Linked DNA regions of Kluyveromyces lactis. The protein of the gene in region 4 interacts with the protein of the main gene of each other region in a biochemical or structural test. Links are inferred from orthologs where the notes say so. Each region holds a gene or a part of one and is shown on either strand. Other genes may lie near its edges.

Region 1 (2,665 bases), on a different chromosome or scaffold from region 4:
ATTTGATTAGAATCACAAACGAAAATAGTATGTACAAATATCAGGCCAGATATTTGTTGGCTCGTTCAAACTCTGATTTGTGGAACATTGTGTTGTCTCCTGACAATATCCATAGACGTCAATTGGTTGATGCTGTCATTAGCGTTGGCATTCCTGAGCTTACTGATCCAGAACCAGTGTCTTTGACTGTGCAGGCTTTTATGTCTAACGGATTAAAGACGGAGTTAATTGAATTGTTAGAGAAGATTATCCTAGAGCCATCTCCTTTCAATGACAATCCTGCTTTGCAAGGTTTATTGCTTCTCTCTGCTATTAGATATGAACCTAACAAGGTAAGTGGCTTAATTGAGAAATTAGATCATTATGATGTTGATGAAATTGCACCATTGTGTATTGAAAATGAATTAAATGAAGAAGCCTTCGAAATTTATGATAAACATGGGAAACATGACAAAGCATTGAAAGTTATAGTCGAAGATCTTTTGATGTTAGACAGAGCAGAATCATATGCCGACAAAATCAACACACCAGAGCTATGGTCTCAACTTGGTACTGCAGAATTAAATGCATTACGTATCCCAGAAGCTATTGACTCTTACATCAAGGCTAAAGATCCTTCGAACTTCATGAACGTTATCAAGGCTGCCGAAGACGCTGGTAAATTTGAAGAGCTTGTCCCATATTTGTTGATGGCTAGAGAATCTTTGAAGGAACCGGTAATCGACGGAGCATTAATCTTGGCATACGCTGAATTGAGTAAGTTGAATGAAATTGAAAACTTGTTGTCAGTCTCTACCGTTGCTAACCTAGAAGAAGTTGGTGATAAGTTATCCCAGCATAATGATTACAAAGCTGCCAAATTATGTTACTCTTCTATTTCTAACTACTCTAAGTTGGCTAGCACTTTAGTTTATTTGGGTGATTATCAAAATGCTGTCGATACCGCCAGAAAAGCTTCCAATGTTAAGGTGTGGAGACAGGTTAACGACGCATGTATTTCCAATAAAGAATTTAGATTGGCTCAAATCTGTGGTTTGAATTTGGTTGTTCATGCCGAGGAGTTAGACGAATTGGTTGCTGTATATGAGCACAACGGGTATTTCGAGGAGCTAATTTCCCTATTCGAAGCAGGTTTAGGTTTGGAAAGAGCTCATATGGGTATGTTTACTGAATTGGCAATCCTTTACACTAAGTACAATCCATCCAAGACTTATGAACACCTAAAGCTATTCTGGTCTCGTATTAACATTCCAAAAGTCATAAGGGCTGTAGAGGATGCTCATTTATGGCCAGAATTGATCTTTTTGTATGCACACTACGATGAATGGGATAATGCTGCTTTAACGATGATTGAAAAGTCTGCCTATAACTTTGACCATTCGTACTTCAAAGAAATCATTGTTAAAGTGTCAAACTTGGAAATTTACTACAAAGCAATCAACTTTTATGTGAAGGAACACCCTTCACTACTTGTTGATTTATTAACCGTGTTGATTCCAAGATTAGACATTCCAAGAACTGTTAGAATTTTCTCCAAATCTGACAATCTACCATTGATTAAACCATTCTTAATTAATGTCTTGCCAAAAAACAACTCCGTAGTTAATCAGGCTTATCACGATTTGATGATCGAAGAGGTTGATTACAAAGCTCTTCAAGACGCTGTTAGCTCGTATGATAAGTTTGATCAACTAGAGTTGGCCACCCGTTTGGAAAATCATGAGATAATTTTCTTCAAGATTATTGCTGCCGAATTGTACCGTAGAAACAAAAAGTGGGCCAAGAGTTTGGCTATCTTCAAGGGCGAACAGCTCTGGAAACATGCTATTGAAACTGCTGCAATTTCACAAAGTCAACAGATCGCCGAAGACCTATTATCATTCTTCATTGAAACCGACAACAAAGAAGGATTTATCGCTTTACTATATTCTTGTTACCACTTGATTACATACGATACTGTCCTTGAACAAGCTTGGTTGAATAACTTGGAAACATTTATTAAACCATATGAAATTTCTGTGAAGAAGGAGCAAAATGATGCGATCAAGCAATTAAGTTCCGAGTTTGCATCAAAGGCAAAAGTAGGCTCTAACTCCGATGACCAGCCATTACTTTTGACAAATGGCGCGATTGGCTCACAGGCAACTGGGTTTTCTAACTACTGAACTTGAGGGGGTTTAGTAAGTTATTTTCCATCGCACTTTCGATGCTGTCATGTTAATTTGATGAACCGTATGTATAATATGTAATAAGAATGCAATTACGTTGAGATAAATAAACCAACCAGAATAACCAACTATTTCAATAAAAAAGATTTTAAAGTGCCTACATTATGTGCTTATAAAAATACAACCCAAAATAACGATAAACTATCCAGAGACAGAAAAATCTTACTCTTTGTAATTGCTATTACGATCTGCCTTAGCTGCTTTCTTTTCTAAGTCATCCCAGTCATCACCTTCGTCATCTTCTGATCCATCGGCGAAATCATCTGACCCTTCATCACTGAATTTTTCGTCATCCGAATAATCCTCTTCTTCTTCAGAGTACACTTCCTCATCAGATGGATCCTCATCAGATGCCTCGTATTCTGAAATTTCTTCCTCGCTCTCATCAGATCTTTCATCATCGGATCCAGTTGCCAAGAACGACCACCCACCATCCA
Region 2 (3,088 bases), on a different chromosome or scaffold from region 4:
TCCTCAAATGATGTATCTCACATTTTCATTGATATCTGGAAATATGGCCACGCTCTATGCAACAAGAAAGAAGTTATTGAAAGTGTCAAGATAAAGCTGATAAGGTATGGTGGGCTATTGAAAGAAAAGTTCCCCCACACCAATACCATGGTCGACTTTGGCATTTTGGAGATTCTTAGAGTGGATGACTCCTCAGTATTGAAAGCTGAAGCTTTAAATATTGGAATATCTCAGTAGAAATTGCCAACGGATGATATATTACTATCTTCTACTATTTATAACATTATCATAGTTGTTATGTATCTCTGAAAATGTATATAATATATACAAGACCCTAAACTTTTTATCCAAAGAATGTAAGGAAAAAAAAAAAATGCAAAAAAAAAAAAAATTGAATTGAGTATAAATGATACAACGGCTTTGCGTGGTCTCAAGCTCGTTAATAAACTCCCTATCGAGTTTCACTCCAGTAATCGGAAATATGAAATAAATCTTTACCATTAGATGCCACCTCTTAATCTCAAGACAAGATGTAAAGTGGATTCCTTTTGGATGTTATAGTCAGACAAGGTTCTGCCATCTTCCAACTGCTTACCTGCAAAAATTAATCTTTGTTGGTCTGGAGGAATACCTTCTTTGTCTTGAATCTTAGACTTGACGTTATCGATGGTGTCGGAAGATTCGACTTCCAAAGTGATGGTCTTACCAGTCAAGGTTTTGACGAAAATTTGCATACCACCTCTTAATCTCAAGACAAGATGTAAAGTGGATTCCTTTTGGATGTTATAGTCAGACAAGGTTCTGCCATCTTCCAACTGCTTACCTGCAAAAATTAATCTTTGTTGGTCTGGAGGGATACCTTCTTTGTCTTGAATCTTAGACTTGACGTTATCGATGGTGTCGGAAGATTCGACTTCCAAAGTGATGGTCTTACCGGTTAAGGTTTTGACGAAAATTTGCATACCACCTCTTAATCTCAAAACAAGATGCAAAGTGGATTCTTTTTGGATGTTGTAATCGGACAAGGTTCTGCCATCTTCCAACTGCTTACCTGCAAAAATTAATCTTTGTTGGTCTGGAGGGATACCTTCTTTGTCTTGAATCTTAGACTTGACGTTATCGATGGTGTCGGAAGATTCGACTTCCAAAGTGATGGTCTTACCGGTTAAGGTTTTGACGAAAATTTGCATACCACCTCTTAATCTCAAAACAAGATGCAAAGTGGATTCTTTTTGGATGTTGTAATCGGACAAGGTTCTGCCATCTTCCAACTGCTTACCTGCAAAAATTAATCTTTGTTGGTCTGGAGGGATACCTTCTTTGTCTTGAATCTTAGACTTGACGTTATCGATGGTGTCGGAAGATTCGACTTCCAAAGTGATGGTCTTACCAGTCAAGGTTTTGACGAAAATTTGCATACCACCTCTTAATCTCAAGACAAGATGTAAAGTGGATTCCTTTTGGATGTTATAGTCAGACAAGGTTCTGCCATCTTCCAACTGCTTACCTGCAAAAATTAATCTTTGTTGGTCTGGAGGGATACCTTCTTTGTCTTGAATCTTCGATTTCACGTTATCGATGGTGTCAGAAGATTCAACTTCCAAAGTGATAGTCTTACCAGTTAAAGTCTTAACGAAAATTTGCATGTTTTCTCTTGATCTAGTTTTAAGGGGAATGAGAGGGGGGGGGGTAAATAATTTGGGGTGAAATAGTATAACCTTGAGTCAGTATCTTCTATGAGAGAAACTCTTGATGCTCCTTCTTAACCAATATGATGTTGTTAATAATATCAGGAAACAAACTGCCAAAATAACCCTTTTGTTTTTATATATACTCCCTTTTTTTTTTAAAAAAAAAGGAACTTGTTCGCTTATTTCTTTTATTTTATCTCCCTATCAGTTCTTACTAATAACGGAGAATATAGCACAAAAAATGAAAATAAGAACAATAATGATAGCTGCTATGCTGTCCAAACTTTCAGAATAGATATATGAATGCGATATAGGTAGTAATAGTATCTAACCCGAATAATATCTTAGAAAAAGATAAACGTATTTAGAGAATAAACGGGGGAAAGAACAATCAGAAGTGGCAAATACGAGAGAAAAAAAGGCGGCCGCCCAAGTGATCACTATTTATATAAAAGCATCCAGTGTAATCAGTTTCGCTCGGCCTAAGGTGGCCGTTTGAAAAGAAAAATTTCCCGAGAGGGAATTCGATGGAAAACCGGCAGTTTGGAATCTGTTACGTTGCAGCCATCTCTGTATTTCAGCCTTGTATCTTTAACTGTTTGCAATGAATCTTTTCTCCGGCTTACAGATCGCCATGACTTGAGGTTTATGATTGCATGACGAAGAGCGGGGATATATGGAATGAACTGCTAACTTTGATTGTTCAGAGTAAAGAGCATACCGCTTTGTATCCACTGATACCTTCTGCAGTACAGTGTGTATATGCAGAGGTAACCATGGAAACTCATGGAACAATGAAGTTTATCCTTTTTTTTTAGACTTGCGGGGAGAATCTAAGATACAGACAGACGAAAAAAGTGACTCGAAGTCATCCACGTGATTAAATCAGGGTAACATACATCATATTTTATCTGCCTGGCTTCTCCTAAATTCATTCTTGACCTTTCAGATGCTCCCGGAACATACCCAGGCCAAATATCTCTGTCATTGAGGTTCCTGGCGGGATAATTCGGACTGCCCAGAATCTCTTCGATATTACTTGTCTTATAGTCCTAGATGACACTTTTTTTTCGACTCTTTTTATGATAGCGGTGTTCTTAACGCCTTTGTCGTATACTCAGGTGACACTTTCCATCATATTGAGCTGTATGGTCTTTCTCCATTCAGCATCCGAGGAAAGGGACTTCATTAAGTAAGGAGTCCAAGAAGTTCTCTGATAGGCATGTAGGCTGCCGTAGGCGATTGAGCGGCATTTAATTTAGTCGAATTTAGAAGAAAATGCAACAATTTCTGTACTTTTTTCTCGTATCGATAGTGAAAAGGGGAGACAGCACAAACAAAAACAGGAATTTTTTTTTAGGCAAAAGTAAATAGTACAACTACTAATGGGGTTACAT
Region 3 (3,757 bases), on a different chromosome or scaffold from region 4:
TAAAGGCTTGTATAGAGAGATAGCACACGCACACAGGTAAGTACTGTTATGGTAGTATTAGTAATTTTTGATATCTTGTATTTCTGGTGACCAGTTTAACACAATGATTGATAGTTGCATTACTGGTACCTCATCCTGCCATTGTTGTGCCCTTTATATACCAGAAATCACAAAATATGACATCGAGCTGGACCCCAGCACTTGTTTCAAACATTCCAAAGCATGTAAACAAACACACCACAGAAAGCATTCTCAAACACTTGCTCCTGCTCACTGTTTATGTTTACTCTGTTTCGTTTCGTTTTGTTTCGCAACATCCAAAAGCTGTTCCTGTAATATGCTAAAACATAATTTCGTGTCAAAAAAGTGCCTAGGAAAAAGAATTCTTTTTGGAAGAGTTTTACGCTGGACTAAAGAGAAGAAAGCATTTACGTTTAACGTAACTGTAAACAAGACACAAAATGTAAACCCAATCACGCCGCCTGTTGTAAACTATTTCACATCATAAGCACGCAATCCAAACACCGTCCACCTGCAAAAAAAAACCATCTTTCGATGTTTCTCCCTCTGATCTCTTCGAGCATGTAGCTGTTGTTTACCTTTTGAATACCGCATGCTGGTTGCCAAAAAAACCCAGCATAAAGCGATCAACACGTACAAAGTGATTCTGACTTTTGTCAGATGCTGCAGTGCCAGACGGTTCCTGGGTCAGGACAGAAATTCTTCTGCCATTGTGCCGCTGTAACCACGTCCACATGCGTCGGCCAGATGTATCAGTAAACAGAACTCTTAATTTTTCTCCGTATTATGTTCGAATGCGTGTTCGTACTGAAATGCTTCTTGTCTTTCCTGTACCTTGCAGTGACCTAAATGGGCACACTGTATTCCCATTTACAAATGGTCTGTTAGTACTTTTGAATTCAATATGGCAACTTGAACAAACCCCATTGTGTAAAGGTCCTTTTTTTTTTATCTCTCTCGCAGTTCTGTTGGTCCCTTCTTCTTTCACTGAATCACTCTGTGAATTATAGGGGAATAATGCCGTATTAAGAATCGCTTCAACTTTCAATATTGAAAAATTGAAAAGTTGCGAAATGTTAAACAGACCGAAAACTTAAGAACCGTAAATTATAGTCAGCCAAACCCCCCCACTCCCTAAAGTGCATCGCGCGTTTGTGTTATTTTCATTAGAACCCATCGGTAGCTGCCTCCGTCAAGAATTGATTTCAAGTTGAACGAGTTTACACTTCTTTTGAGAAATTAATAATCATAAAGCAGTTGTTTCCGAGTATACTATGGGAGGCTTGAATTCTGCTGAGAAAGAAAAGGTTAAACATGCTTTGCCCAAGGCTTCTAACAAGATTATAGATGTTACTATCGCTAGGTTATACATTGCATACCCTAATCCAGAGAAATGGGTTTATACTGGCTTATCTGGTGCCATTGCATTGGTGGACGATATCGTTGGTAATACTTTCTTTTTGAAGTTGATCGACGTGCATGGGCATCGAGGTGTTCTCTGGGATCAAGAATTGTACGTGAACTTTCAATATAACCAGGATCGTACTTTCTTTCATACCTTTGAATTAGAACAATGTAACGCCGGGTTGTTATTCACCGATATTGGCGATGCTTCACATTTTTTGAAACGAGTACAGAAACGGGAGAAATACGCGTCCAAGAAGACCTTGGCCAACAAGAATGCAATTGCATTAGAGGACCAAATTAAGAAAGAGGAAGAGAGTAAAGTGATCCATGGTCCAAGAGGCGAATCCTTGATCAGTGACCAAAGGGTCAGATATAGATATGAACCGGAAAAGCACGAGCACCGCCAGGAACACCATTACGAGCAGCCCAGCCAGAATTATGCTTCAACTGAAAACTCAGCTTCAGATGCAAGTGCCGCTCCTCCTTCTTTTGCCTCGAAACCACCGCCACCGCCTGTCGAGAAACAACCTCCTCCTCCTGTGAGCATCCCATCTTATAAGTACGACTCTATTCCATCATTCCCAAGCTCTCCTGCACCTCCATCGGTTTCCTCTACTCATTCTCCTACCCCGGATTCATCCTATGCATCAACACCAGCACCAAGTAATCCTCCTCCACCAATAAACCACCCGGTACATGCAGTTCCTCCTCCTTTACCAGCAGAACAATATCGTCCACTGGCTCAGTCACCTCATCCGCAATTCCAGCAGCAGCATAATTCTCCTTCACCTGCAGCACCTCCTTCGATTCCGCCTATGCAGCAAAGCGTTGCAATCCCTCCTCCACCTTCCCATCCAGCTCAACAACAAAACGTCACTAATAACAACACTCCTCAGTTTGGACAATATTCTGTTGCTGGTCTGCAACCACCTCCGAGACCAACTTCAACGAGACCTGGTATTGCTCCTCCAGTTTCGAGGCGTGGTCCGGTACCACCTCCCCCTCCAAGACGCTCAGCTGCTCCGCCGTCCATTCCTTCAAGAGGTCCTCTACCTAATGCTCCAACTGGCGGTCAGCATAGTCGTACTGGAAGAGGGCCTCCACCACCACCACCACCTAGACGTGGTGGCCAGGCTCCTTCTCCACCTGCAAGCAGAGGTACAACTCATAACTCAGCCATCGGCCCTCCCCAGCCCCAGCTTCCACCACAAATGCAATCTCCTCCTCTTCAACAGCATAATACCTACAATGCAGCGCCTCCTGTTCAGCAATATCAACCACCACAGCAAACCGCATACATTCCGCCTCCCCCTGTCTTACCACCCCACTCAGGTGTAAGCACTCAGTATCACCCATCGACCGAGCCTATGTTAGCCCAACCCCAGCATCATATAGCGGTACCTAATGGCACTGCACCTCCCCCAGCACCTCCTGCCCCTCCGGCACCTTTTGCTCCACAGATAACGAACTCAGCGCCCGCACCACCACCACCTCCTCCTCCTCCTCCAGCCCCTGCATTTAATCAACCTGAAGCAGGATCTGGTTTTGTTGAAAATACTGGTGATGCTGGAAGGGATGCCTTATTAGCATCGATTCGTGGAGCTGGTCTGAATTCCCTCCGTAAGGTGGATAAATCTCAACTTGAAAAGCCAAGTCCTTTGTTACAAGAAGTTCGTAGTGATGCGCCGGTATCTCAACCCACAGGCGGGTCAACTGGCGGACCTGTTGGTGCTCCTGCGTCCTTGGCTGATGCCCTAGCTGCGGCTTTAAACCAAAGAAAGAATAAAGTTGCTCGTGACGATGATATAGACAACGGTGATGATTGGTGAAAGTAATTCACCCTACTTGAACTGCATCTGACTAGACTGTGGAATTATGATTTGGTATTTGTATGTACGGTGTACCTATATATTACTTTCAGATGCCTTTAAAACAGAAGACAGATAAAACTAAACTAATTATTCAAAGAACTCCACTTATTTGACCATACCTGTATCCATTTCAACTTGGACTCATCTGAACCGTTTAGCTGTGTAATAATTTTTATAACTTTCTTAACATCATTATTGATAGCAAGTACTGATGTTTCCACTTCTGGATCTACTTCATATTCAGCGTTCACTAAGGTGGATGAAATTAAAGTATCAGAGTTAGAAACTATTGAATTGTGGAGTTGATTTAGCTCAGATAGATATGCTGCTGTAGTTACAGTATCCTTTTTTATGGTTATCGATTTGGATAATGAACTCAACAAGAGCTTAAGGAGACGAGATTTTTGCGATAGTGATTTGACAAATTCAATCATGGATTCTGAAGCTTCCTCTTCCTC
Region 4 (4,187 bases):
CAGCAACATCAAAAAACACAAGCAAAGCATCCGTGTTACGGTTTTGCGCTACCAAGTCTCAGAATGAGTCCCAGTCTTCTAGATCTAGAGACGCAACTAGCGTTCTACAAAGCTTATCATAACAATACTGGGAATGTGTTAATTCATAGCATTTTTGTCCCAACGATTCTCTTTACATCCATGCGTATATTGAACGACGTTAAGATCTGGAATGGCTATACCTTGACTCATTTGTTAGCGTTGTCATTTGGGTTGTTCTATATACTGTTACGAGTAGGTACCGGAATCCTTGCGTCGTTGATATTGGCACTGACGTGCAAATTTTTGAACGACGGGACTATTAAGATGACACAGACCACTGCCTGGATATTATTTGTGATCAGTTGGATCTTCCAGTTCATTGGCCACGGTGTTTTCGAGAAGCGCAAACCTGCGCTTCTCGATAACTTGGTGCAAAGTCTTGTGCTAGCGCCATACTTCATCCTTTACGAATTACTATTTATTTTAGGGTTCATGCCTGAACTTAAGAAGAATCTACAAGCTCGTGTTGACAAAGAGCTAGATCGTATGAGAGCGAGTAAATAAACTTAACCTCCGTTCGCCTAAACAGTATATATGCTCTATTTATGACTTCTATGATGATGACAATAACGATACTTGAACCCATGATGGAATTGAAACATCAATCACGTGATATAGAAATGATCTCTTTTTTTTCTTCTTTCTATCAGATCTCTGCGATTCGCAGTCACATGACTAGAACTGGGCAAGAACCCCTTTTTATTTCCAGATCCGGGATCACCGTATCATCATGTACGAAACACAACCCCGGGTAACCAAAGGATCACAGAAAAACAATTCGAAAACTGCAGGTTCTTGTACCACACTGCCAGGAACCGGTGCTGCGTGCTGTCGGTATTTTCATTTGTTCTTTTTCTGAGTGAAAATGAGAGAATCAGAAAATGAGAAAAGATTAGGCCCAAAATAATTGAATAAGTCTATCAATATACTTAGAACATATATAAATATATATATGTCTATACATATATAAGTAATTCGTATAAACAAGTTTTAGCTTGAATTGGGTTAGAAAGGCCAGACAAACTCTTGAGGTTTAGATAGAGTGCGCGAGTTGCATTGCAATTGTGCAAAAGAGAAAAAAAAAAACCAATCAAAACGGAGAAATAAAAGGAAATAGCATAATACCGAAAAGAGACGACAAAAAGGAAGTGTCTCGTATTCCTGCATTCTTTTAGTTTTTGATTTCAATTTAGTTTGGATAATTAAATTTGATTGGCGATTTGTATAGGGATCCTCTTGGCCTTGTATACAATCTGGAAGCTTATAGGTCCTTTTACTTGGCTCCTGACGCATTTAAATACCTACAATGACGGTGTTTTTGGGTGTTTACCAGGCGCTTTACGATTATTCTGCGCAAACAGATGAGGAACTAACTGTCAAAGAGGGTGATCTATTGTATCTTTTAGAAAAATCTAGCATTGATGATTGGTGGACCGTTAAGAAGAGAGTTATCGGATCTGATCAGGATGAACCCGTAGGTTTGGTCCCCAAGACATATATTGAAGAGGCTCCAGTGATTGGGAGTGTAGTTGCGCTTTACGATTATGAACAAGTTCAGAATGCCAATGAGGAATTGGTATTCCATGAAAACGATACGTTCCAATTGTATGACGATAGGGATGCAGATTGGTTCTTGGTGAAGAATACCAAGAATTCAGAGGTTGGGTTTGTGCCAGGTAATTACGTGGAAAAACAATCGCAGCAAGCTGGAGGTCCCGCTGCAGGAGTTACACAGTCTAAGCACCAAGCCCCAGCTGTTCTACCCCTTTCTGAACTTCCAGCTCCACCTCAGAGGTTGGACAGAGTCAATTCTCAACCATCATTCAGAAGCGGATCTACCCCTGCTGGCGCTGCAAGTACAGCAGATGCTCCAGGAGCTCCATCTACATCGACACCACCACCAGCATCAAATGCAGGCGTTGCGTCTCATACAACTATGCCAGTTGATGTTTCACTGCTCCCTCCACCTCCAAAGAGAAACGATACGGCAACCACAGAAGTCCAGCGTGAGTCAGCAGTAGCAGAACCTCCAGCAATGCCTCAAAGACCTTCTAATACTGAACACCAAACAAGTTATCGTGATGACCCAAGAGACAATAATAGAACTTCCCAAATAACTAGAGATTATTCAGATGATGAGCGTGATTACGATTTCGATGACGATGAGGAAGATCAACCTCCACTGCCATCTAGAAATGGAAGACCTTCAGCCTCGACCGCTGAACATGTTTGGTCTGTTAGTGAGGTTGATGGTCGTAAGAAATGTAAAGCTACGTTGACTGTTTCTGCTGAACGTATTCATTTCTTCTCTGCAAAGACAAAAGTGGATCAAGAATGGGCAGTTAAAGATTTGATCAACTATAACAATGAAAAAAAGCATCTATTTCTTGAATTTAAAAACCCTTACATTAACTTGGAATTGCATACTGGCTCTAACGATCTGGCTAACGAGATCATGGGCGTCTTGGGTGAGATTAAAGGTGCCCAGACAGCAGTTGGGTTACGTGAAGTTGAAGCTGCTTCAAGGCCTGCCATGACCAAGAAAAGAGCTAAAGCTGTATATGACTTTTTCGCTAACTCTCCTGATGAACTCACCGTTAAAGAAGGCGACTACATTAATATCTTAGATGACAGGACTTCGAAAGACTGGTATATGTGTGAATCTGTAGAAACAGGTAAAAGAGGCATTGTCCCCGCACAATTTGTCGAAACACGCGGATCAGGCTCATCAAGGCCTTCTGATGAAAGCCCTTCTAGGAGTAAGTCTAAGACCAGATCCAGATCTAACACTTCTAACTTTACTCAAAATTTAGTTGGCAGCTGGAAAGAGGATGCTGATCAAGATGTATCGAAGAAAAAGTCTAAAACTTCGAGCTTTTTCTCCAAGAAGAAGAAAACTGATGATAAAGAGTTCCCTGATCCTAAAAAGGTTAGAATTTGGGTAGACAGAAGTGGTACTTTCAAAGTTGAAGCACAGTTTTTGGGCTGTGTCGATGGGAAGGTTAACTTACATAAGGTGAACGGTGTGAAAATTGCTGTTGCTGCAGACAAATTGTCCGAAGATGATATTTTGTATGTGGAAAGATTGACGGGTATGTCTATGGAGAAATTCAAACATAAACCCAAGAGTTCAAATAATGACAGTAGTGCAGTAAACGCAGAACGTGAAAGAAGAAGAAAGGCTAAGGAGCGTGAACGGGAACTTGAAGAAAGAGAACGTGATAGACAATTAAGAGAGCAAGAACTTAAAGAGTTAAAGAGGGCTAGAGATCTCTTGGAAAGCGAAAGAGAAAAGCTGAGGAGTGCACAAGACAAAGAACTGCCACCTGTGAAACCACCAAGACCAGGCAGTGAAGCAAGCAAAACGCACCCTGTCACAAAGAGCTCCAAGAATCCCGAATACGATTGGTTCGAATTTTTCTTGAATGCTGGTGTTGATGTCAACAATTGTCAACGCTACACCATTAATTTCGAAAGAGAGCAAATTAGTGAAGAAATCTTGCCAGATATCGAGCCTTCTTTATTAAGAAACTTAGGTCTACGTGAAGGTGACATTTTAAGAGTAATGAAGTATCTAGATAACAAGTTTGGCAGAACAAAGGAGGCTTCTCCATCAACTGGATTGTTTACTGAAGCCGATGGATCCTTGAAGGTTAACCATACAGGTGCTCCCGCATCTGCAGGCGTATCTCATAATCTATTACCAGATAGTAATTCATCGAATAGAGATGATGATGCATGGACTGTTAGACCTGCTGCTAAAGCCAGCGACAGCTCCAACAAGGCTCAGGATTTCTCTGGGTCACTTCAAGATTTGCTTGATTTGCAACCTTTAGAGCCGAAGAAGAAAGAAACACCAGCTCCAGATGTCAAGCATCTAGAATCTGTCACCACTAACGGTTCGAATAAAAAGGAAGAAACCCCTCTGTCAGCAAATAAGACGGGTACTTCTTTGGTTCCATTAGATCCATTCAAAACTGGTGGTAATAATCTAATCCCTATTACTACAGGGGGATTCATTATGATGCCAGTAGCAACAGGCGGTTTAATGCCATTCCAACCGACTGGGGGGCTAGTACCTCTGCAAAGGACTGGAGGTATGATTG
Region 5 (4,094 bases), on a different chromosome or scaffold from region 4:
AATGCACTGAGCCGTCACTTATCGATGTCATCAATCCATGTTGATATAGAGGTTGCAATTTCAAGCACCAGTTGTTTTCTTCAAAGTAGCGACATTTGTATTTGTTGAAGGACATTGTGGGACTTCGCACCGTGACTGGTTATAGTGCAGTAGACTTTAACAAACTAGTTTACTCGATGGGATGAGATGAATCTTTTCTACCTCTAATCAAAAATAATAGCTTTAACTACTGAAAAAGAAAGATTCATGTTCGAAGGTGGAAGGAAATGGTAAAAAGAATGGTTCCTAGCGGGATCGAACCGCTGATCCCCGCGTTATTAGCACGGTGCCTTAACCAACTGGGCCAAGGAACCAGATCTTATGGTTTTTCGTATATTTTTCCAAACTCATGGCGCATGGTGGCGAGACCGCTCAGGAACAATAATCGAGTAGCTACCAATCTAATTGACGGATAAGTAGCAATATGTTACATAGACATGCAGCTAATAACAAATATCGATTCATCTGATTCTGAAGATCCAGATCTGGTGGCACGTGACTGAAATGGTTAGATAAAAAACATCAACATCTTGACATCTCACAGGCTGAAGAGAACCATATATTCCATCACTTTTTTTTAAGCCACATTATTCCAAATTAATGTTTATTAGCATAGGAGGCCTTAGCAAAACCACAAGGCCACCGCTGTAACTATTCCCTGCTGAGAAACTTTTCTCCACAAAAAATAAGGGCACAAGTAAGCACCAGGGTCCAAGACTTGCCTTCACCTATTGTTCCTTTTTCCTTGCAGTTGTTATCACTCTTTTTAGGGACCCGCCCCTATTAACATTTTCCAATGTTGACAAAAAAATCAGGCTTGAACATTGAAAATGGAAGTCAGTTTTTTTTTCATATAAAAAATTATAGATTTGGTAAATTAAGTGCTATTCAATGAGGTTTACAGCGTTGAGCAGGGCAACAAGAAGCATAGTAGTTCCACCAAGCTACGGGGTTTTATCCTTACATTTATTTTTTTTGCATTTCATAGTTCATCCAAGTGGTGCACTTTTATCAATTGTGAGTTTTGCATTATTTTTTTTTACTTCATTCTGCCTGGACAAATTTCCATCAATTTGCTTATATACTTTTGTGCTATAGGTCACAGTACAAGAGAGCACGTAGGAAAGACGGCATTTGCAAAAGTTTTCTCGAAGGTTAACCCATTTGTGTTGGCGTTATACGCTTACTGTATTTTAACTGCTGGCTTTTCTCTTTTTCTTTGCATTCTGAATTCACATCTATATGGATCTTTAAAATGAATCAGCCGCAAATTGAGAAATACGCATCGGGTACCATATTGCCTGTTGGATCGCATCAGGTGAAGGTTTTGAAATATCTCGCGAGCGGTGGGTTCGCGCATGTATATTCCGTTGAAATTAGCCCGCCAGATCCGGTATGCCCAGATAATGTAGCATGTTTAAAGAGAGTTGTTGTTCCTGACAAAGCAAGTCTTAACACATTGAGGGCGGAAGTGGATTCAATGAAGGCTCTTAGAGGCAACAAATTCATTGTTTCGTATATCGATTCACATGCCACTAAGTCTCCGGTTAACGTAGGAATGTATGAAGTGTACTTGCTTATGGAATACTGTTCTGGCGGTGGGCTTATCGATTTCATGAATACCAGATTGCAGAATAGACTTCAAGAGTTTGAGATTCTCAATATCATGAGTCAAGTGAGTCAAGGTGTTGCTGCTATGCATGCTCTGCAACCACCATTGATCCATAGAGATATTAAGATTGAGAATGTCTTGCTCTCGAAAAATCATGAATTTAAGCTTTGTGATTTCGGATCAGTGTCTGGTGTCATTCGAGCGCCAAGAAATACAGAGGAGTTTAACTATGTCCAGTACGATATAATGAAAAATACAACGGCGCAGTACAGATGTCCAGAAATGATCGACTTATACCGTGGTTTACCGATAGACGAGAAGTCTGATATTTGGGCATTGGGTGTCTTCCTGTACAAAACATGCTATTATACTACGCCGTTCGAGAAAAATGGGGAATCTGCCATCTTAGCATCTAAATTCGAGTTCCCAGCCTATCCACGTTATTCTGATAGAGTGAAAAATTTGATAAGTGTCATGTTACGTGTAGATCCTCTGAAACGTCCGAATATTTGTCAAGTGGTAGAAGAGGTTTCACGTATTCAAGGCATTCCATGTCCAATCAAAAACTTTTATCTGTTAAGAATGATGGATAAACAGGAACAACCAAGGGTGTCGCCACCTCCTCATGTGCCACAGATGACTGTGCCGGCAACTGTGCCAACTTCTGTTTCAACTCAGCATCTGCCCCCCCAAGTTGTATCAAACGTACAGACTCCATCGAAAACTGCATCTATTCAGCACTTGCCTTATTTGCATGTGTCTAAGAGTCAACCTATGGTCACACAGCAGGATTTACTCTCACAAAAGCAACCTGCAGGAAAAACAGTTCCTCAGACGGTTTCAAACTACACAAGTTCAGATCCATTCTCCAAAATTGATAGATCTGCTCTTTTGTCTACTTCTGCTACAATGGAATCACTACCGAGGGCAATGAGAATACCACAACTAGAATATCAACAGCCTCATCTTCTGACAAGATCGCAATCAGTAGTGCCTAGAGCCTCTGTGAGTCCAGTAAGAAATGGTAGAGGTGCCATTTCAAGTATCTTGGCATCAAACAGAACATCCTTAGATAGACCAAAGTATGTGGACTCTGAAACTCAAACCAGCGATCATCCATCAGAACTGGGTCTTTCACGATCTCTGTCTAGAAAATCAGTCGCATCATCTCTGTCTTCTGCGGAATCCTTGGAAGCTACCTCAACTGGCGGTAGCTTGACTCGTAAAATAGGTTCTAAGATGAAAAAAGTTATCACCGGAGAGAAGAGGGGCTTTTCAACCATTAGAAGTGCACAAAATACCGGTGAAAGCGTAAAATCCGCATTTAACGCATTAAGAAAGGGAATTTCCTCAATGCAGTTCACTGGTGATAGCAGTTCCAGAAAATCATCTTTAGAAGCAAGAAAGTATAGAAGTACTTCAGGCAAATCCATTCCTGAAAATACTTCTTCTAACACCAAATCCCATAGGCGGTCCACCAGCTCGTTTTCCTTCGTTCCGGAAAATAATGACTATGAATTGATCGAAGATATACAAAAGGAGAAACCAAAATCATCACTGAGAAGATCCTCTTCCTTGAAAACTTCATCTTCGATCCAGAAGCGCGTTAAAGATCTAATCAATGCAGATGATATACCCAATCGCTCTTCTGCCACTGGATACGGGAAATATACTGATATTGGGAGGAAAACCGATATATCTGACCACCATAAATCCAATGCAAATCGTAAATCAAGTACAGTGATCACTCCTGTGCATGAGGCTCCTAAATCCAAACCAGCACCGCCACCCAAACCAGCTCATTTGAAGCCAAATCTTCCACCTAAGCCTAAACACCTAAAGGCAAAATCTTTCAGAACAAGCCCAGCAAAATCCGAAGTTAAAGAGCAGGATTCCGATCAAGATTCTGTGGGTAGCCCTTTCCAATCTCGAAAAGAAATGAAAGAGTTTGAAAGAAGATTTCCAAGTGCATTATAGAATACTTTTAAAATTACATATATCTTTATAATGATATTCTAATTATTCCGATTCACTCCATTCTTCGAAAGAATCCAATATGAAATCAGTTGCTTCTTCAAAACGTTCATCGAATATGTTTGTCATTCCGTCACAATCTGCCTTCAAAACTCTACCATACTTCTTTCTTAACTTCTTATTTTCGTTGGCCGTACTACCCCAACAAGAATGTGTGCTACTTGTGAATACCAAGGAATTCTTGAAATACCAATCTCCTAACGTTTCGTCAATTAATGGCACCATTACTTTAAGAGGTTTTTTGTCTAAAAATGATATTGCACATTTTACCACTGACCTGGTATCCCTATGGCCTAATAAATGGACAATGCCTCCGTAGGCATCTCCAATGCCGATAAATGCCACCTTTTGTAGATTTTGGAAGAATTTCAAGTAGTTATCCCATAAATATATCAGAATCTCTTGTGAT
Region 6 (4,207 bases), on a different chromosome or scaffold from region 4:
ATGGTTTGTAAACTATGGAGCAATTTCCCACCGCGAGCCTGCTCATTAATTTCATTATTCCGCAATTGGAACAACTGTAAATTATCCGATGTCTGTGATGTGGAAAGTAGAATGGTGTCCCTATCCAATGACATTGAAGTGACGTCCCTAGTGTCTTCTGACAGTTTCCAACAATCTGTCTTCAATTTTTTCGTGACAATGACATCGTTCAAATCACCACTAACCTTCCTTAGCAAGGAACTGTTCAATTTCGAAGCCTCTATCTTGCAATTCCGCCTGACAATAGTACTGTTCTCGTCATCGCTAATATCTCTTCTACTCTTCTTGACGATGATGGCGTTCTGTCTGAATATCTCTGGAGCCCTGTAGAATTCAGTCATAATTTTCGCAATATACAGTTTCTTATTTGACTTTGTGTAATGTTTGCACTGCAGAGAATAATTGATTGTTAACAGGTACATCCATTAGAGGAGTAAGAGCTGGTCACTTTTAGAAACGACATGTTTATATATGATACAGGGCAAATAAAAATAGCACTAGCAAACACTGAGCCAATCAAAAATAGGACCAAACGCAGAACAAGCAACAAAAATTAGAGAAAGGCACGTTACCTATTGAGTGTGTTAGGCAGCCATATGAGCAAACATCCTGTTTATGTTTGCAAGAGGTTTGTTTACCTGTAAACAAACCCAGCATCTTTAAAGCTGGCAAAGGCTTGTTTATATTTATGTCATTTTGGACGATATGATTTTTGTCACGTGATGCCCATAATCGTCCCATATGCACGTCATCTGACAGCAATACGGCAGATTCTTGCAACCTGGTGGCTACCACCGCCATTAATGCCGTTTCCGAATTTACTGACATACTCGGCGTAGCCTGGTATCCCTCTTTAGTACTCTTTTTCCAGGTTTCAATCTCCTCACGTGACAAGTAAAGGAGAAAAGAAAATTGTGATTTGCATATTTTAATTAAGGAAACAAAACAAGAACAAAGATACTTTACTTGCAAACAACATCCGATTTAATCATCAGATCAAGGTGCTAGAGGATAAGCAAACGTGCATTGACAGTGGCAAAAAGGACGGTACGGAAAAGGGTATTGAGCAAGGTATTGATCTGATTTTTCTTTGCTTCTTTTTAGAGGAATCATCAACTTTTTTTCTGGTTCTGTTTCCTGTTCTGTTTCTTTGCAATTACGACAATTAAAGAAGACAAAAGACAAAAAATAAAACCTTATAGGCTTTCTCGGGCGGTTTTATTTGTTTAATAATTATTGCTGTTACTACCACTTATCAGATATCTAGTGTTTGAAGACTTTTCAATTTGTTATTGAGATTCCACTTTGAAGGAGAAATTATCGGATTTGAAATTGACAAACCATTAAAAAAATAAAAAGCTGCGAAATATGTCTATCTCTGTGAAACTAGTGGCTGCTGAGTCATTGAACAGGAGGGATGTGTTTAGATCTCCTGATCCGTTTGCAGTTTTGACTATCGATGGTTCTCAGACGAAATCCACAGCGGCTGCAAAGAAGACGTTGAATCCCTACTGGAATGAAGTATTTCAATTCAAAAATGTGAGTGAAAATTCGATCTTAACTGTTCAAGTGTTTGATCAGAAAAAGTTCAAGAAGAAAGATCAAGGGTTCCTAGGTGTTGTCAACGTTCGTATTGGTGACATTCTGGGTCACTTGGACGAAGATACTGCCACTTCGAACGGTAGAGCTCGTGAAGAGACTATTACTAGAGATTTAAAACGTTCTAACGACGGGTTGTCAGTAAGTGGTAGAATAATATTGGTTTTGACGGTTCTCCCCAGAGCTGGCAGCCGTAATGGAGCTGCTGGTGCCGCAGGTAGTGCTGTTGCTGGTTCCGGAGCAGCTCGTCAATCGGATTCGATGACGAACGCTTCCACTATCGACAACAGATTGATTGCTCAGACTGTTGCTAACAACTTGCAAACTACTACATTAGACAACCAGGATTCTGCGAATGCTGCAGGTACCGCCAGTTCAGGTTCAGGTGCCGGTTCAAGTGATGCTGCTCCATCCGGTCAACCTTCGACAGCTCAATCTCAATCGTCAGCTAGCAGGCAATACTCATCGTTTGAAGATCAATATGGTCGTTTACCCCCAGGATGGGAAAGAAGAACGGATAACTTTGGAAGAACATATTATGTGGATCATAATACAAGGACAACAACATGGAAAAGACCCACTTTGGATCAATCCGAGGTTCAACGTGTCAACACCGAACTAGAACGTAGACAACACAGAGGAAGAACTTTACCTGATGGTGGTGCTCAATCAGAGGGCTCGTCTTCATCAAACGTTGCTGTTCATACCGGTACTGGATCTCAAACTCCTGCCGTAAACGGTTCAGCAGCTGCTACTTTTGCTGCCACTGGGGGTACCACATCGGGGTTGGGTGAACTTCCACCAGGTTGGGAACAACGGTTCACTCCTGAAGGAAGAGCGTACTTCGTTGATCACAACACAAGAACCACGACATGGGTCGATCCAAGAAGACAACAATATATTAGAACCTATGGGCCTTCCACAAATACCATACAACAACAACCTGTATCTCAGTTAGGACCTTTGCCTTCTGGTTGGGAGATGAGATTGACAAACACAGCCCGTGTATACTTCGTTGACCATAACACTAAGACCACCACTTGGGATGATCCTAGATTACCTTCTTCCTTGGATCAAAACGTTCCACAGTATAAGCGTGACTTCAGACGTAAGGTTATTTACTTCAGATCCCAACCGGCTTTAAGAATTCTACCAGGTCAATGTCACATCAGAGTACGCAGAAAGAATATCTTCGAAGATTCTTACCAAGAAATAATGAGACAAACGCCAGAAGACTTAAAGAAGAGACTAATGATCAAATTTGACGGTGAAGAAGGTTTAGATTATGGTGGTGTTTCAAGAGAATTCTTCTTTTTACTATCACACGAGATGTTTAATCCCTTCTACTGTCTATTTGAATATTCTGCCCATGATAACTATACTATCCAAATCAATCCAAACAGTGGTATCAACCCTGAGCATTTGAACTACTTCAAGTTCATTGGTAGAGTCGTCGGTTTAGGTGTATTCCATAGAAGGTTCTTGGATGCATTCTTCGTTGGTGCTCTATATAAGATGATGCTAAGAAAGAAGGTAGTATTACAAGATATGGAAGGTGTCGATTCAGAAGTCTACAACTCCTTGAAATGGATTTTAGAAAATAGCATAGATGGCATTTTAGATCTAACATTTAATGTTGATGATGAAAGATTTGGTGAACTGGTTGTCGTCGATTTGAAACCAAACGGCAGAGAAATCGAAGTCACAGATGAAAACAAGAAAGAATATGTTGAACTATATACCCAATGGAGGATCGCAGACAGAGTTCAAGAACAATTTAAGGCATTTATGGATGGATTTAACGAATTGGTTCCTGAAGATCTAGTCAACGTGTTTGATGAACGTGAACTTGAATTATTGATTGGTGGTATTGCAGAAATTGATGTTGAAGACTGGAAAAAACACACAGATTATCGTGGATACCAAGAGTCTGACGAAGTTATCCAGTGGTTCTGGAAATGTATCACTGAATGGGACAACGAGCAAAGAGCACGTTTGTTACAATTCACAACTGGTACATCGCGTATCCCGGTCAATGGATTCAAAGATTTGCAAGGTTCTGATGGTCCAAGAAGATTCACTATCGAAAAAGCAGGTGAAGTTCAACAACTACCCAAGTCACACACTTGTTTCAACAGAGTGGATCTTCCACCATACACTGATTATGAATCTTTCAAGCAGAAGCTAACATTAGCAGTGGAAGAAACCATCGGATTTGGACAAGAGTAGTTGAATGAATCTTTCAATCTTTTCAATACCCTGCACCTTCTCAATTATTCAATCAGAAAGCGCAAGCACAAACACAAGCACAGACATATATATGTTATAGATATATTGTTGCCAAAACATGTGTATATTATTACATAGAAATTTTTTTCTTAACCTCGTTAGGCCTCAACTTATGGTGCTTTGTTATATTTTATTGCCATTATCAGGTGTTACTTTATATAGGTATGCTATAATGTGGGAAGCAATTGACAACGAAGTATCTGGTTCCTAACCGACGGAGTTTTGTAATTGCCCAGAGATTGATATATCCAGCTTAAATTTTGGGATAATAACGAAAATT

What was found.
Region 1: the proteins of SLA1 (region 4) and CHC1 form a complex in vitro, tested with the Saccharomyces cerevisiae proteins (2 studies listed by BioGRID). The link is inferred for Kluyveromyces lactis from reciprocal best matches to the Saccharomyces cerevisiae genes SLA1 and CHC1.
Region 2: the proteins of SLA1 (region 4) and UBI4 form a complex in vitro, tested with the Saccharomyces cerevisiae proteins (3 studies listed by BioGRID, with this or other methods). The link is inferred for Kluyveromyces lactis from reciprocal best matches to the Saccharomyces cerevisiae genes SLA1 and UBI4.
Region 3: the proteins of SLA1 (region 4) and LAS17 form a complex in vitro, tested with the Saccharomyces cerevisiae proteins (2 studies listed by BioGRID, with this or other methods). The link is inferred for Kluyveromyces lactis from reciprocal best matches to the Saccharomyces cerevisiae genes SLA1 and LAS17.
Region 5: of the proteins of SLA1 (region 4) and KLLA0_E08405g, one has a biochemical effect on the other in vitro, tested with the Saccharomyces cerevisiae proteins (2 studies listed by BioGRID). The link is inferred for Kluyveromyces lactis from reciprocal best matches to the Saccharomyces cerevisiae genes SLA1 and PRK1.
Region 6: the proteins of SLA1 (region 4) and RSP5 form a complex in vitro, tested with the Saccharomyces cerevisiae proteins (2 studies listed by BioGRID, with this or other methods). The link is inferred for Kluyveromyces lactis from reciprocal best matches to the Saccharomyces cerevisiae genes SLA1 and RSP5.

What each region holds. Positions count from the first base shown.
Region 1 is NC_006042.1:910,805-913,469, reverse strand, and holds the end of CHC1 (clathrin heavy chain), read left to right. Parts: coding exon 1-2,165; downstream 2,166-2,665. Other genes in the region: chromatin-remodeling protein SPT16, read right to left, coding at 2,391-2,665. UniProt on the Saccharomyces cerevisiae protein: Clathrin is the major protein of the polyhedral coat of coated pits and vesicles. In yeast, it is involved in the retention of proteins in an intracellular membrane compartment, presumably the trans-Golgi.
Region 2 is NC_006041.1:74,448-77,535, forward strand, and holds UBI4 (ubiquitin), read right to left. Parts: upstream 1,647-3,088; coding exon 501-1,646; downstream 1-500. Other genes in the region: ECM29 (Ecm29p), read left to right, coding at 1-237. UniProt on the Saccharomyces cerevisiae protein: Ubiquitin exists either covalently attached to another protein, or free (unanchored).
Region 3 is NC_006039.1:433,425-437,181, forward strand, and holds LAS17 (actin-binding protein LAS17), read left to right. Parts: upstream 1-1,295; coding exon 1,296-3,257; downstream 3,258-3,757. Other genes in the region: KLLA0_C04752g (uncharacterized protein), read left to right, coding at 104-508; KLLA0_C04796g (uncharacterized protein), read right to left, coding at 3,383-3,757.
Region 4 is NC_006037.1:445,988-450,174, reverse strand, and holds the start of SLA1 (cytoskeletal protein-binding protein SLA1), read left to right. Parts: upstream 1-1,387; coding exon 1,388-4,187. Other genes in the region: 2-hydroxy-palmitic acid dioxygenase MPO1, read left to right, coding at 64-585. UniProt on the Saccharomyces cerevisiae protein: Component of the PAN1 actin cytoskeleton-regulatory complex required for the internalization of endosomes during actin-coupled endocytosis. The complex links the site of endocytosis to the cell membrane-associated actin cytoskeleton.
Region 5 is NC_006041.1:755,739-759,832, reverse strand, and holds KLLA0_E08405g (Ark/Prk/Nak family serine/threonine-protein kinase), read left to right. Parts: upstream 1-1,294; coding exon 1,295-3,628; downstream 3,629-4,094. Other genes in the region: KLLA0_E08449g (uncharacterized protein), read right to left, coding at 1-115; histone deacetylase HDA1, read right to left, coding at 3,671-4,094. UniProt on the Saccharomyces cerevisiae protein: Protein kinase involved in the regulation of actin cytoskeleton organization and endocytosis. Phosphorylates PAN1 which disrupts the interaction between PAN1 and END3, and between PAN1 and SLA1. Phosphorylates SCD5.
Region 6 is NC_006041.1:1,196,726-1,200,932, forward strand, and holds RSP5 (NEDD4 family E3 ubiquitin-protein ligase), read left to right. Parts: upstream 1-1,407; coding exon 1,408-3,867; downstream 3,868-4,207. Other genes in the region: DSE1 (Dse1p), read right to left, coding at 1-461. UniProt on the Saccharomyces cerevisiae protein: E3 ubiquitin-protein ligase which accepts ubiquitin from an E2 ubiquitin-conjugating enzyme in the form of a thioester and then directly transfers the ubiquitin to targeted substrates.